Sus scrofa: one gene and its partners. The protein of the gene in region 2 interacts with the protein of the main gene of each other region in a pairwise test. Links are inferred from orthologs where the notes say so. Each region holds a gene or a part of one and is shown on either strand. Other genes may lie near its edges. The genes, in order: P4HA3, ZC3H12A and AHSP.

Evidence for each region.
Region 1: the proteins of ZC3H12A (region 2) and P4HA3 interact in binary tests that used the Homo sapiens proteins (3 or more experiments, as listed by UniProt). The two-hybrid records come from large-scale screens. The link is inferred for Sus scrofa from reciprocal best matches to the Homo sapiens genes ZC3H12A and P4HA3.
Region 3: the proteins of ZC3H12A (region 2) and AHSP interact in binary tests that used the Homo sapiens proteins (3 or more experiments, as listed by UniProt). The two-hybrid records come from large-scale screens. The link is inferred for Sus scrofa from reciprocal best matches to the Homo sapiens genes ZC3H12A and AHSP.

The regions. Positions count from the first base shown.
Region 1 is NC_010451.4:8,626,860-8,629,904, forward strand, and holds the end of P4HA3 (prolyl 4-hydroxylase subunit alpha-3), read right to left. Parts: intron 1,996-3,045; coding exon 1,899-1,995; intron 1,195-1,898; coding exon 1,124-1,194; 3' UTR 508-1,123; downstream 1-507. UniProt on the Homo sapiens protein: Catalyzes the post-translational formation of 4-hydroxyproline in -Xaa-Pro-Gly- sequences in collagens and other proteins.
Region 2 is NC_010448.4:93,539,975-93,544,243, forward strand, and holds the start of ZC3H12A (endoribonuclease ZC3H12A), read left to right. Parts: upstream 1-1,359; 5' UTR 1,360-1,484; exon of another isoform or gene 1,485-1,489; intron 1,490-1,554; exon of another isoform or gene 1,555-2,225; intron 2,226-2,339; 5' UTR 2,340-2,411; coding exon 2,412-2,806; intron 2,807-4,269. UniProt on the Homo sapiens protein: Endoribonuclease involved in various biological functions such as cellular inflammatory response and immune homeostasis, glial differentiation of neuroprogenitor cells, cell death of cardiomyocytes, adipogenesis and angiogenesis.
Region 3 is NC_010445.4:17,058,702-17,061,518, reverse strand, and holds AHSP (alpha-hemoglobin-stabilizing protein), read left to right. Parts: upstream 1-1,175; 5' UTR 1,176-1,322; intron 1,323-1,491; 5' UTR 1,492-1,494; coding exon 1,495-1,569; intron 1,570-1,808; coding exon 1,809-2,012; 3' UTR 2,013-2,179; downstream 2,180-2,817. UniProt on the Homo sapiens protein: Acts as a chaperone to prevent the harmful aggregation of alpha-hemoglobin during normal erythroid cell development. Specifically protects free alpha-hemoglobin from precipitation.

The DNA of each region.
Region 1 (3,045 bases), on a different chromosome or scaffold from region 2:
CAACAGCGGGGAGCGTGGTGGTTTGAGGAACAGAAAGAATGTTGTCTCTGGGAACTCCCCTGGTGGCGCAGTGGTTAGCGAACCCGCCTAGCATCCATGAGGTCGCAGGTTCACTCCCTGGCCTTGCTCAGTGGGTTAGGGATCTGGCATTGCCGTGAGCTGTGATGTAGGTCGCAGATCCGGCTCGGCTCCCACATGACTGTGGCTGTGGTGTAGGCCGGCAGCTGCAGCTTAGATTAGACCCCTAGCCTGGGAACCACCATATGCTGCGGGTGTGGCCCTAAAAAGACAAAAAAAAAGAAACAAAACAACAACAACATTGTGTCTGGAATACAGTGAGAGGGGAGGTGAGCCAAGATGAGATTATATATAAATAAAATCTTATAGGAGGTTCCCTTGTGCCTCAGTGGGTCAAGGATCTGGCGCAGCCCAGGCTGTGGTGCAGGTTCAGTCCCTGGCCCTGGGAACTTCTATATGCTGCAGATGTGGCCAAAAATAAATAAATAAACACATACATACATGCGTAAATAAAACATTATACTCCGCCTTTTTCACTCAATGTTATAATGTAAGAATGTTCTCCATTGTGAACAATAATTTGTAAACATTTTTAATGACAAAACTTTTTAATGGCTGTATTAAAAAATCATATTAAAAAAAAGTTACTTTTTTCTACTACTTTAAAAATCATCGCATGAAGTGCACTCCTGATACAGAGACACCCCTGCTCAGTCCTCAGCAGAAGGGCTAATGGGTGTCAGGCACTGCCTGCAGGTGTCTACACTGCCACGTCTGGGCCCCTGTGGCCAAGGCTCAAAGTGGCAAAAGCTGCACGGACCAGAGCCCGGAGAGTGTTCTGTCCTGTTCCCAACACAGAGGGTCTGAACTCCAAGAACCACTCTCCAGCCTCCTCGCCCCTCCTGGGACTCAGGCCTTGAGGAGAAACAGTGTAAGTCTCATCACGTGTCCCCGCTGGGGACCACTTCCTGGTCTCCCATCTGCAAGGAGCCGGCGAGGCTGGCAAGGCCTCCTCCAGAAGCATGCTCTCCTCCTCCTCTCTTACCCCAGCGTCTGGCCTCGGGCGTCTCTGGGAAGCCACAGGACTCCCAGCTTCGCCAACGTTTTAGTCTTCAGGGCTCGAGCTGCAGGGTCTGCGGAATTCCTGTCCATACTCGTGGATCCACTTGTTGGCCACTGGAGGAGGGAGCGGGGAGACGGTTGGGAGCAAGCGCTGCGCTGCGGTTAAGTGCCACGCGCTCAGCAACTCACCCTGGTCCCAGCCCCGCAGGACTATGAGAGGCTGCTTCCAGCAGCAACAGGGAGCAAAAAGGACAGTGGGCCCTGGAAAAAGTCCCTGACCAGTCCTGTCTAATGCAGACTAATTTTCAAACCTGTCACTTACCCCTCACGCAGCTCCGAAAAGCCCGGCTCTCCCGGGGCATCATTCCAGGGAAAAAAGGGGTGCGTTCTCCTGGCACCAGGGCCCTCTTCTCCTTTTGCTGTGTTCGGAGCTAGGTGCTCATGGACAGATGTGTGACATAAACACATCCCTATTCGTTTACCTCCTCCGTGTCTGACCATGGCCCCACGGGGAAGCACTGAGGGTCTGTCCTCGGGGTAGGGGACAGGGGCCAGCACCACCCTCGGCCGTGCTCAGGGGTCAGGGCCTGTCGGTCAGGCCAATAAACTTCTACTGACCCCTGCTCTGCGACAGGAGCTGCCCTTTGTGGGCTCCCAACGTGCTGAGGGTAACTAACCCAGAATCTCACCACCCTAACGTGACGGGAAACTGTTAGGAAGCTTCGAGAAGGAAAAGGCTGGGCTATTTTCCATCTACCCCCTACTTCATTTTACCCTGAACCGTCGCCCCACTCCCATGCCCAGAAAGGCAGGCTTACCCCACTTATCTCCTACCAGGACCGGACAGCCAGCATGAAGAGTGTCACCGTCCCCCTCACCACTCCTGTGCAGGTTCCACCAAAACAGTGCTGCATTCTGAAAATAAGAGGCCCCGTCAAGGGGGTCAGCCCAGCATCTCAGTCCTTCAGAAGCACCTGACTGAGGCCAAATGCATGCATGTCATTAAGCCAGAAAACTGTCCGCGCAGACTGGGGGCCAGGCGAGCACAGCACGGCCCAACGGGTCGTCTCTTTACTCTTTGGCTCATGCGTCGCCAACGGAGGGCCTGCTCTCCTCCGGGCCCTGGAGAGAAGGAGCCAAATCGAGCTCGTGGTCTTGTGGGAGAGACACGCAAAAACAAACCAGGATGAGACGGTGTGACCAGTGCCGGGGCAAAGGTGGGCACAGGGGGTCACAGGATCACTCAGCAAAAGCACAAGGTGGAACAAATCCCCCCTCACCCAGGTAGGAACTTAAACCAGATGCTCGCCCTCCCTAACGGCAGCCCAGGAGGCAGCATCATAAGCCCACATGACCAGCAAGGAAGCTGAGGCTTAGAGGCTTTAAATCATCAGCTAAGAAGGAGCAAAGCCGCAACTCAAACCCAGGCATCTTGATCGCAAACCTTGTATGTTCTTGTCCCCTCTTGTACCAGGTTTTTCCTATACACTTTAATCCCCAGCATTTATTGAATGGTTAGGATGTGCTGGGCACTATGCTAAGAACTGTGAAGCATGATCTTAATTTTTTTTAGGGCTGAACACGCATATGGAGGTTCCAGGCTAGGGGTCCAATCAGAGCTGTAGCCACCGGCCTACACCACAGCCACAGCAACGCCGGATCCTTAACCCACTGAGTGAAGCCAGGGATCGAAGCTGTGTCCTCATGGATGCTAGTCGGGTTTGTCAACCACTGGGCCACAGCGGGAACTCCGATCTTAATTATTTGACTTCTCTTCATTCCTGAAGTAAGAGCTGCCTTCCCTGATTGTTGACTGATTGATGTGACATTTGGGGAAAGCAGCCATTAAACAAAGCTCTTATCGCACCGGCCCTCCCCTGTGCCCGGCTGGACTTTCCAGCGCTTATCGCAGTACCTGCGCTGCCTGTTAACGTCTCCGCGGCCCCGGAGACAAGGGCCGGGAGT
Region 2 (4,269 bases):
CTGGCCCCGGAGGCGGTCCAAGCAGGCAATCACAATCCAGCACGTAGGGACACAGGCAGGGTGCTGTGGGAGCACTAAGGAGGAAGCAACTCAGCACCAAAGGAGTCTGGGCAGGCCTCACAGAGGAGGTGACATCATCCAAAAGAGGAACAGAATTGGCCAGGCAGCTGTAGCCAGGGAAGAAGGGGAGAGCACTCCTGGGCCGAGGAGGAGAGATGCAAAGGCACGGAAGTGTCTGCAAGGCGTTGGCACCGTGCCTGCCGCCCAGTGAGTCCTCCATAAATGCGAGGCATTATCGCTGTGGTTGACTATCATCATTATGCTGATTAATCTGGACTCATTTAATATTCTTACTATCTTAAAGGGAGTTACTACACATGAGCACATGTCTAAATATACAGCACTTTTCACTGAACTTTTCTCAACTCTAAAAGTGGCCCTTGTGTGAAGATTAAGGCTACCGGCACACACAGTGCTCAGCAGGAGTGGTGGGGAGCACAGAGAGGAGCCCAGCCCTGGATGTGATCTGGGGGAAGGCTTGTTTTCTCTCTCTCCTGGAGGCCAGCTCCTGGGGTTGCTGTGCCTGGGGGGCACTGACGTGGAGATCCTTCGGGGTCTTTAAAGATGACCAGGCAACAAAGCAGGGAGTTAGCTAGGTGGGGTCACTGGTGATTTCAAAAGTGACATAGGTGGCACCTGGTGCCATGGAACTGGAGCTCCTGGTGCTGCTTGCAAGTCTTTCCAGCTGGGACAAGGCAGGTTGTACCTGCCTTTCTATCCCAGCAAGGTCCTTATTTCAGAAAAAAAAAAAAAAAAAATGTACTTGGCCCTGGGTGGGGCCCCACTTCTGTGTACCTGCTCCAGTCACGGTTACCTGTTGAGTCTTCCTGTCTCAATGAGAAAGGTGCCCGCCTGGGTGTACCTGTCTTTATAACCATGGCTCTGCCTCCCGTGGTGTGTGGACCAACCTTTGTGCACTTGATTCACTCGATGCACCCCAGACTGTACCTTCCGCATACTTAAGTCTGAACGACCGCAGCTATACCTGTGTTGTACTGCCGTACTCTCGGTCAGCCCGCGCCAGACTCGGATCGCTTACCTGGTCCAACCTGGGCTTACCTTATGCCTGTTGGCCGTACACTCCTGCCCTGCAGATCGCGCCGCCCCGGGGGCGCCTCGAGGCTCAAATAAGGGGCTGCGAACGGCGACCGCTGACCACATTCCTGGCCGGGCAGAGCGCGCTCCGGCTGCGGGGGCGGGGCCGGAGGCCAGGGCGGGGCGGGGCGGCGCAGGGGGCGGAGCAGGAAGGGGCGGTGGCCGCTCCGCCCCCTGCCGCTCGGGCCGGCTCTCGCCTCCCCTGCCCAGCTTCCGCGTCACGGTCCCGAACGCCACCTGCCCGCCCACCCGCCCGGTATAAAGGCGCCGCCGGCCTAGCCTCCGGGACTCGGCCCCATGGAGACGCCGCCCGCCGCGGCCGGCGCACGGTGGGGTGAGGCGCGCGCGCGCGCGCGCGGCGGGGGCGCGGACCTCGGGGCGGGCGGAGGGGGGGTGGGGTGGGCGCAGGCTGGGACTGACCGGAGCCGGAGGGACGTGGGGCCTGTCCCCTCCGGCCTCGCCGGTCCTCGGGACCGCTTCCAACTTAGCCCAAGTTGGGGGATCCTGGGAGTAGGAAGACCGAAGTCTGGAGGGGGAGCCGAGCGAGAGGCTCTGGGCCGGGACAGCCTCCGCGTCACCGAGCCCGGAGGCCAACCAGAGTTTCCCGGCAACTTTTCTCGCTGGTGGTGGGTCGCCCCGGAAACTTCCCCTCCCCCGGTCCGGGCGTCTGGCCACTGGCCCTCCGCCTCCTGAGCCTGGGTTCCAAGCACGCGGCAGACGGACTGGAGAAGACGATGGTTGATGGTTTCGACGGGGAACCCCCGCCCCCCTTCTAGCGCACTTGCAACCCAGCGGGTTTCCATCTGAAAACCCCGCCCCGCGGCTGTGGGGGCGCGGCGAGGCCCTCGAAGGCCACCCGCGACTTCTGGGTCCCTGAGTTTGTCGAGGAGGGGGAGGGCTGAGGGTAGAGGGGGAGGAGTAATCAGACTGCCTAAGTTCAAATCCTTGCCCCACCCGCTAACAGCTGGATGACCTTGAGCAAGTTCTTACTGTCTGTGGCTCAGTTTCATCCTTTATGTAATGGGACTTGAGGATCCCTCCCTGGGAGGGCTTTTGGAGGAATAACAGAGGTAACACCCCCAAATGGCTTTTCATACTGCCCCTAGTGTGGCCTCATCCTCTTGGATGGGGTGGGAGTTGGAGAGAATCATTCCCCGTCCCTAACTTTTGTGCTTGTCCTCCAGGAGCTGTGACAAGTGCCTTTCACCAGTCTGAGCTGTGAGTGGCCAGTGGAAAGAGGCCCACCCGGCCCCACCATGAATCTGTGGGAACTTGAAGACCACAAAAGCTGCCGAGAGACCCCAAGGCCGGCCCAGGAGCCCACTGCCGAGGAGGTGATGACCACGGAGCTACAGATGAAGGTTGACTTCTTCCGGAAGCTGGGCTACTCCTCTGCCGAGATCCACAGTGTCCTGCAGAAGCTGGGGGTCCAGGCAGACACCAACACAGTGCTGGGCGAGCTGGTGAAGCATGGGTCAGCGGCCGAGCGGGAGTGCCAGGTGTCACCGGACCCCTGCCCTCAGCTGCCTCTGGTCCCCCGTGGTGGGGGCACCCCCAAGGCTCCCACCGTGGAACCCTCACCCTCTGAGGAGGACAAGGAGGGTGGTGACCTGAGGCCCGTGGTCATCGATGGGAGCAACGTGGCCATGAGGTACATGTCACTTCTGTGGCCAAGACGGTGGCCGGGAATGGTGGCCCTGTGTCTCTGCACCTCTGGTAGAAAGGACCTTAGGAAGGAGTTTGACCTCGTCTCAGACCGGTCTGGAGGCAGGGAAAGCCCTTTCTGGGGGCCCTTCTGTGTGCCTGGACGCTCTCTTAGTCCTCACGGCTTCTTGGGAGTGGGTTTCAGGATGTTTTAGGGACTCAGAGAGTTGCTCAGGGTCACACTACTGTTAAGTGCCAGAGCAGGGATTTGAGCTCAAGTCTTTATTTCTCCAGAGCAGCCTTAGGCTCTTTGTGAGGGCCAGCACTTGGTCTCGGTTTCTCTCCTGTGACAAGGTTAAGGGATCAGGCCTTGGGCTCCAGCCCGCCCCTCCAGGAGGCTCCTTCCCTCCTCCCAGAGATGGGGCTAACCCACCCCTCAGGCTGTGAGCTGTGAGCAGTAAGCGCACAGAACCTGGAGAGAAGTAAGAGCTTAGTAATCTGTAGTAGTGGTTGTTACTGTCACTGCTCTTCGGGGAGGGTCTCAGACTTCTGAGTCCTTGTTGTCCCAGACCTGGGCTCCCGAGGAAGCCGGCCCAGCTCTTGAGGGCTTTGTAGCTATGACCGAGAGTAACCTTGAGGATCTGGCTCTATCTACATCGGGTGTGTGTGGCTGGCCTGATGCTTTGGCTTCAGGGGAGCTGTGACTTAGGTCCCCTCTGCTTCAGCCTGAGCCACTTGGGCTGGACAGGGCTCCGGGGGCTCCCTGGGGGCCAGAGCCAGGACTCAACCCCAGGAACCACCCCCCCTGTCTCCCCAGCAAGGCTCTCACAGGGAAGGGGGCACAGGGCTGCCACTGGCTCTGGGAAGCCCAGACCTCCTTTCCATCCAGGCCCTGCCCTCCGGCCCTGTTTTCTCCCAGTCCCTTCCAGGCAGGCTGCTGAGTCAGGATTGGGTGGATGGTTCACAAGGAAACGTTCCTGTGGGTGCGGACAGGGAGACCCCAGACATGGGTGTGGGGTGGGTAGGGCTTCTTCCTCAGCTTCCCTGAGGGGTCCCTGGGGGGGGGGTACCTCCTGAGCCAGCTCTGTGCCTTTGGCCCCCCTGCCCCTCCCACACCTGGCCTCCCTGGGGGCAAGTCAGCTGTCTGGCTGGTCCTGGCCCAGCTCAGCAAGTGCACAGGTGGCCCTATTCCGGCCACCTTGGTGGTCCGTCTTCACTTCTCTGAAATGGGCTGGGCCCAGGTGGACATGGAGGCAAGCCGGCTCCCGCGGGCCAGCTGTAACCGGTCACAGCGTGTGCTTTAGTAAGAGTCAGGGGACCCCTCTCAGGCTCCAGCAGTTAGCTGGGTCAGGAGCTGGGGTGCGTCTGTGACCCCTTCCTCTGGGGGTAGGGCCCCAGAGCACGGAGCCCCAGGGGCAGCCATGTGCTCCGTGTGTTTGTGTCCCGGTAGGAGGAGGAGGGGCCTGGGCA
Region 3 (2,817 bases), on a different chromosome or scaffold from region 2:
ACAGGAGGAGTTCCCAGAGGTACCAAATCTGACTAGTATCCACGAGGACACAGGTTCGATCCCTGGCCTCAATCAGTGGGTTAAGGATCTGGAGTTGCCATGAGCTGTGGTGTAGGTTGCAGGTGCAGCTCGGATCCTGCGTTGCTGTGGCTGTGGTGTGGGCCAGTGGCAACAGCTCCAATTCAACCCCTAGCCTGGGAACCTCCATATGCCTCAGGTGTGGCCAAGAAAGAAAGACAGACAGACAGAAACTGAGCCACAAGAAAAAGAGTATCTTAACTTTCTTGAGTGTCTGGTGATATAACAGAGAATAAGACACATGCATCTCCACTCTTGTGGAGCTCAGCCTGGAAGCATTCAGTCCTCCCACCTTGCAGCTGGCGTACACCTGCAACATGTGGCTGTTACTGGAACTTGCCTAATATGATTTTTTATAACAATTGGGAGTTCCCTGGTGGCCTAGTGGTTAAGGATTCGGTGTTGTCACCCCTGTGGCTAGGTTCTGATCCCAGGCTTGGGAACTTCCACATGCCACAGGCGTGGTCGGGGTGGGGAGAAAAAGAAAGAAGAAATACCTTAACACTTGCTTGAAATAGAGCCTGGCACAAAATGATAAACGGAATGTAAGCTGCTGGTAATAGATCATCTATGAATTGGGAGAGTAACTGCCACTGCTTGTTGGGATGGTTTAAAAAAATGCCTGTAGGGAGCTCCTGTTGTGGTGCTGCAGAAATGAATCTGACTAGGAACCATGAGCTTGTGGGTTTGATCCCTGGCCTTGCTCCGTGGGTTAAGGATCCGGCATTGTCGTGAGCTGTGGTGTAGGTCGCAGACGTGGCTCAGATCCTGTGTTGCTGTTGCTGTGGCATAGGCTGGCAGCTGTAGCTCCTATTGGACCCCTAGCCTGGGAACTTCCATATGCCACAAGTGCAGCCCTAAAAATTACAATCAATCAATCAATCAATCAATCAATCAATGCCTGTCATGGAATGGGACATCATTTAATGTTAGCATTTGAAGCTTGGATACTGGGGTGTGCAGGAGAGGACAAGGATCTGTCTCTGGTCCGGTTTTCTGGGCCCCTCCCCTCCCCACTTATCTATTTTCTGGGCTTTGCTATCTTTCTAATTTCAGGGAAGCCTCTCCCTCCTTCCCCTGCCCTGGCTGACCTATCACCCTCCCTCAGCTCCTAAATGCAGGGCGTTTCCCTCTTGAGCTGACACACTTGCCTCCTTGTCTGCATCTAGCTGGGCACAGAGAAACATCCAGACCCTGCAAAGGGTAGGTGAGACACTACAGCTCCACCTGCAGTGGACCTGAAGGTGAGCCCCCCGGGGAGAAATGCCATCTCAGAACAGGGCAGGGTTTGAAAGGTGGTTGAGGGCAGCTGGCCTTGCACCAGGGATCCTTCAGGGGAGTGAGGGAATTGGGGGAAATAACCCTTGGATGGGCAAAAAGGATACTTAAGTTCCATCTGTTTCTCTACCCAAGCAGATGGCCCTTCTTCCAACCAATCAGGATCTCATTTCTGCAGGAATAAAGGAATTTAACATTCTGCTGAATCAGCAGGTAGGCCAAGGCCCTCCGTTTCAAAGAAAGGGCCTGAAGTGTGGAGAATGGATGAGGACAGAGAAGGAAAAATAATGTGGAGCCAGGAGGGTTGTGGTGGCGTTGATGGAACCTTCTAGAGACAGGGCATACGAAGTGGAGAAAAGGGGGTGTCAGAGTGTGTGGTTATTCCTGATCACAGGGCTCAGCGGGGTTTCTCTTGCAGAATCCTAACCCCCTCCCCCCACCCCACCTTGCAGGTCTTCTCAGAGCCTGCCATCCCCGAAGAGGCCATGGTGACTGTGGTGAATGACTGGATGGACTTGTACCTCAACTACTACAAGAAGAAGATGGTGGGGGAGCAGGAAGAGCAGGACAAGGCTCTGCAGGAACTTCGCCAAGAGCTGAATACTCTGTCTGCCAGTTTCCTGGACAAATACAGGAACTTCCTCAAGTCCTTGTGAGCAACCCCATCACCCATGGCCTTTCCCCTGGCGGGGAGACCCAGATTGCATGTCTAAGAAACCCTTAAATGCCGCTTCTGTGTTTGTCAAGTCCCCAGGCTCTGCTTTTTCGGGGTGTTATGGCGCCCTGACCCCTCAATAAAGACCAGTCCTGGTTTTGATGGTTTTCTTGGCTCTCCGACTCTTCTTGGGGTTTGATTCGTGACTTGTGAAGACTGTTAATCTCCTTTCCCTCAGTCTTGCTTCCTAGAAATGACCTTGGAGGTCTAATTCCTTAGAACAGAGGCTGGCAGCCTTAGGTAACTACTGGGCAGTACTAAAACAGCCTGAAGGTGGGGCCAGAGAAGCAGAGCCTAAAGAGTCCGTGCTGGGAGGCGGGGGGTCGTAGACAAAAAGAGGGAGATAGAGCCTCTGCAGAATTTGTGGCCCTGTCGTAGTTCCCACGGTGGCTCAGCGGTAACAAACCCGACTAGTATCCGTGAGGATGCAGGTTCCATCCCCGGCCGCGCTCAGCGGGTTTAGGATCCCGCATTGCTGTGGGGGCAAGGTGGCAGACTCGGCTTGGATCTGGCCGGCTGCGGCTGTGGCTAGGCTGGCAGCTGTAGCTCCAATTCAAACCCTCCCAGCCTGGGAACCTCCATATGCCGCGGGAGCAGCCCAAGAAATAGCAAAAAGACAAAAAAAAATAATAAAATAAAAAATAAAATAAAAAATGAAATGAAGGTGTTGAGAACGAGGAAGGGCCCCTCAGCGGGGAGACAAACTGCGAGCCTTGGGGCGCGGAGGGCGGGGCTCGGGCAGGGGG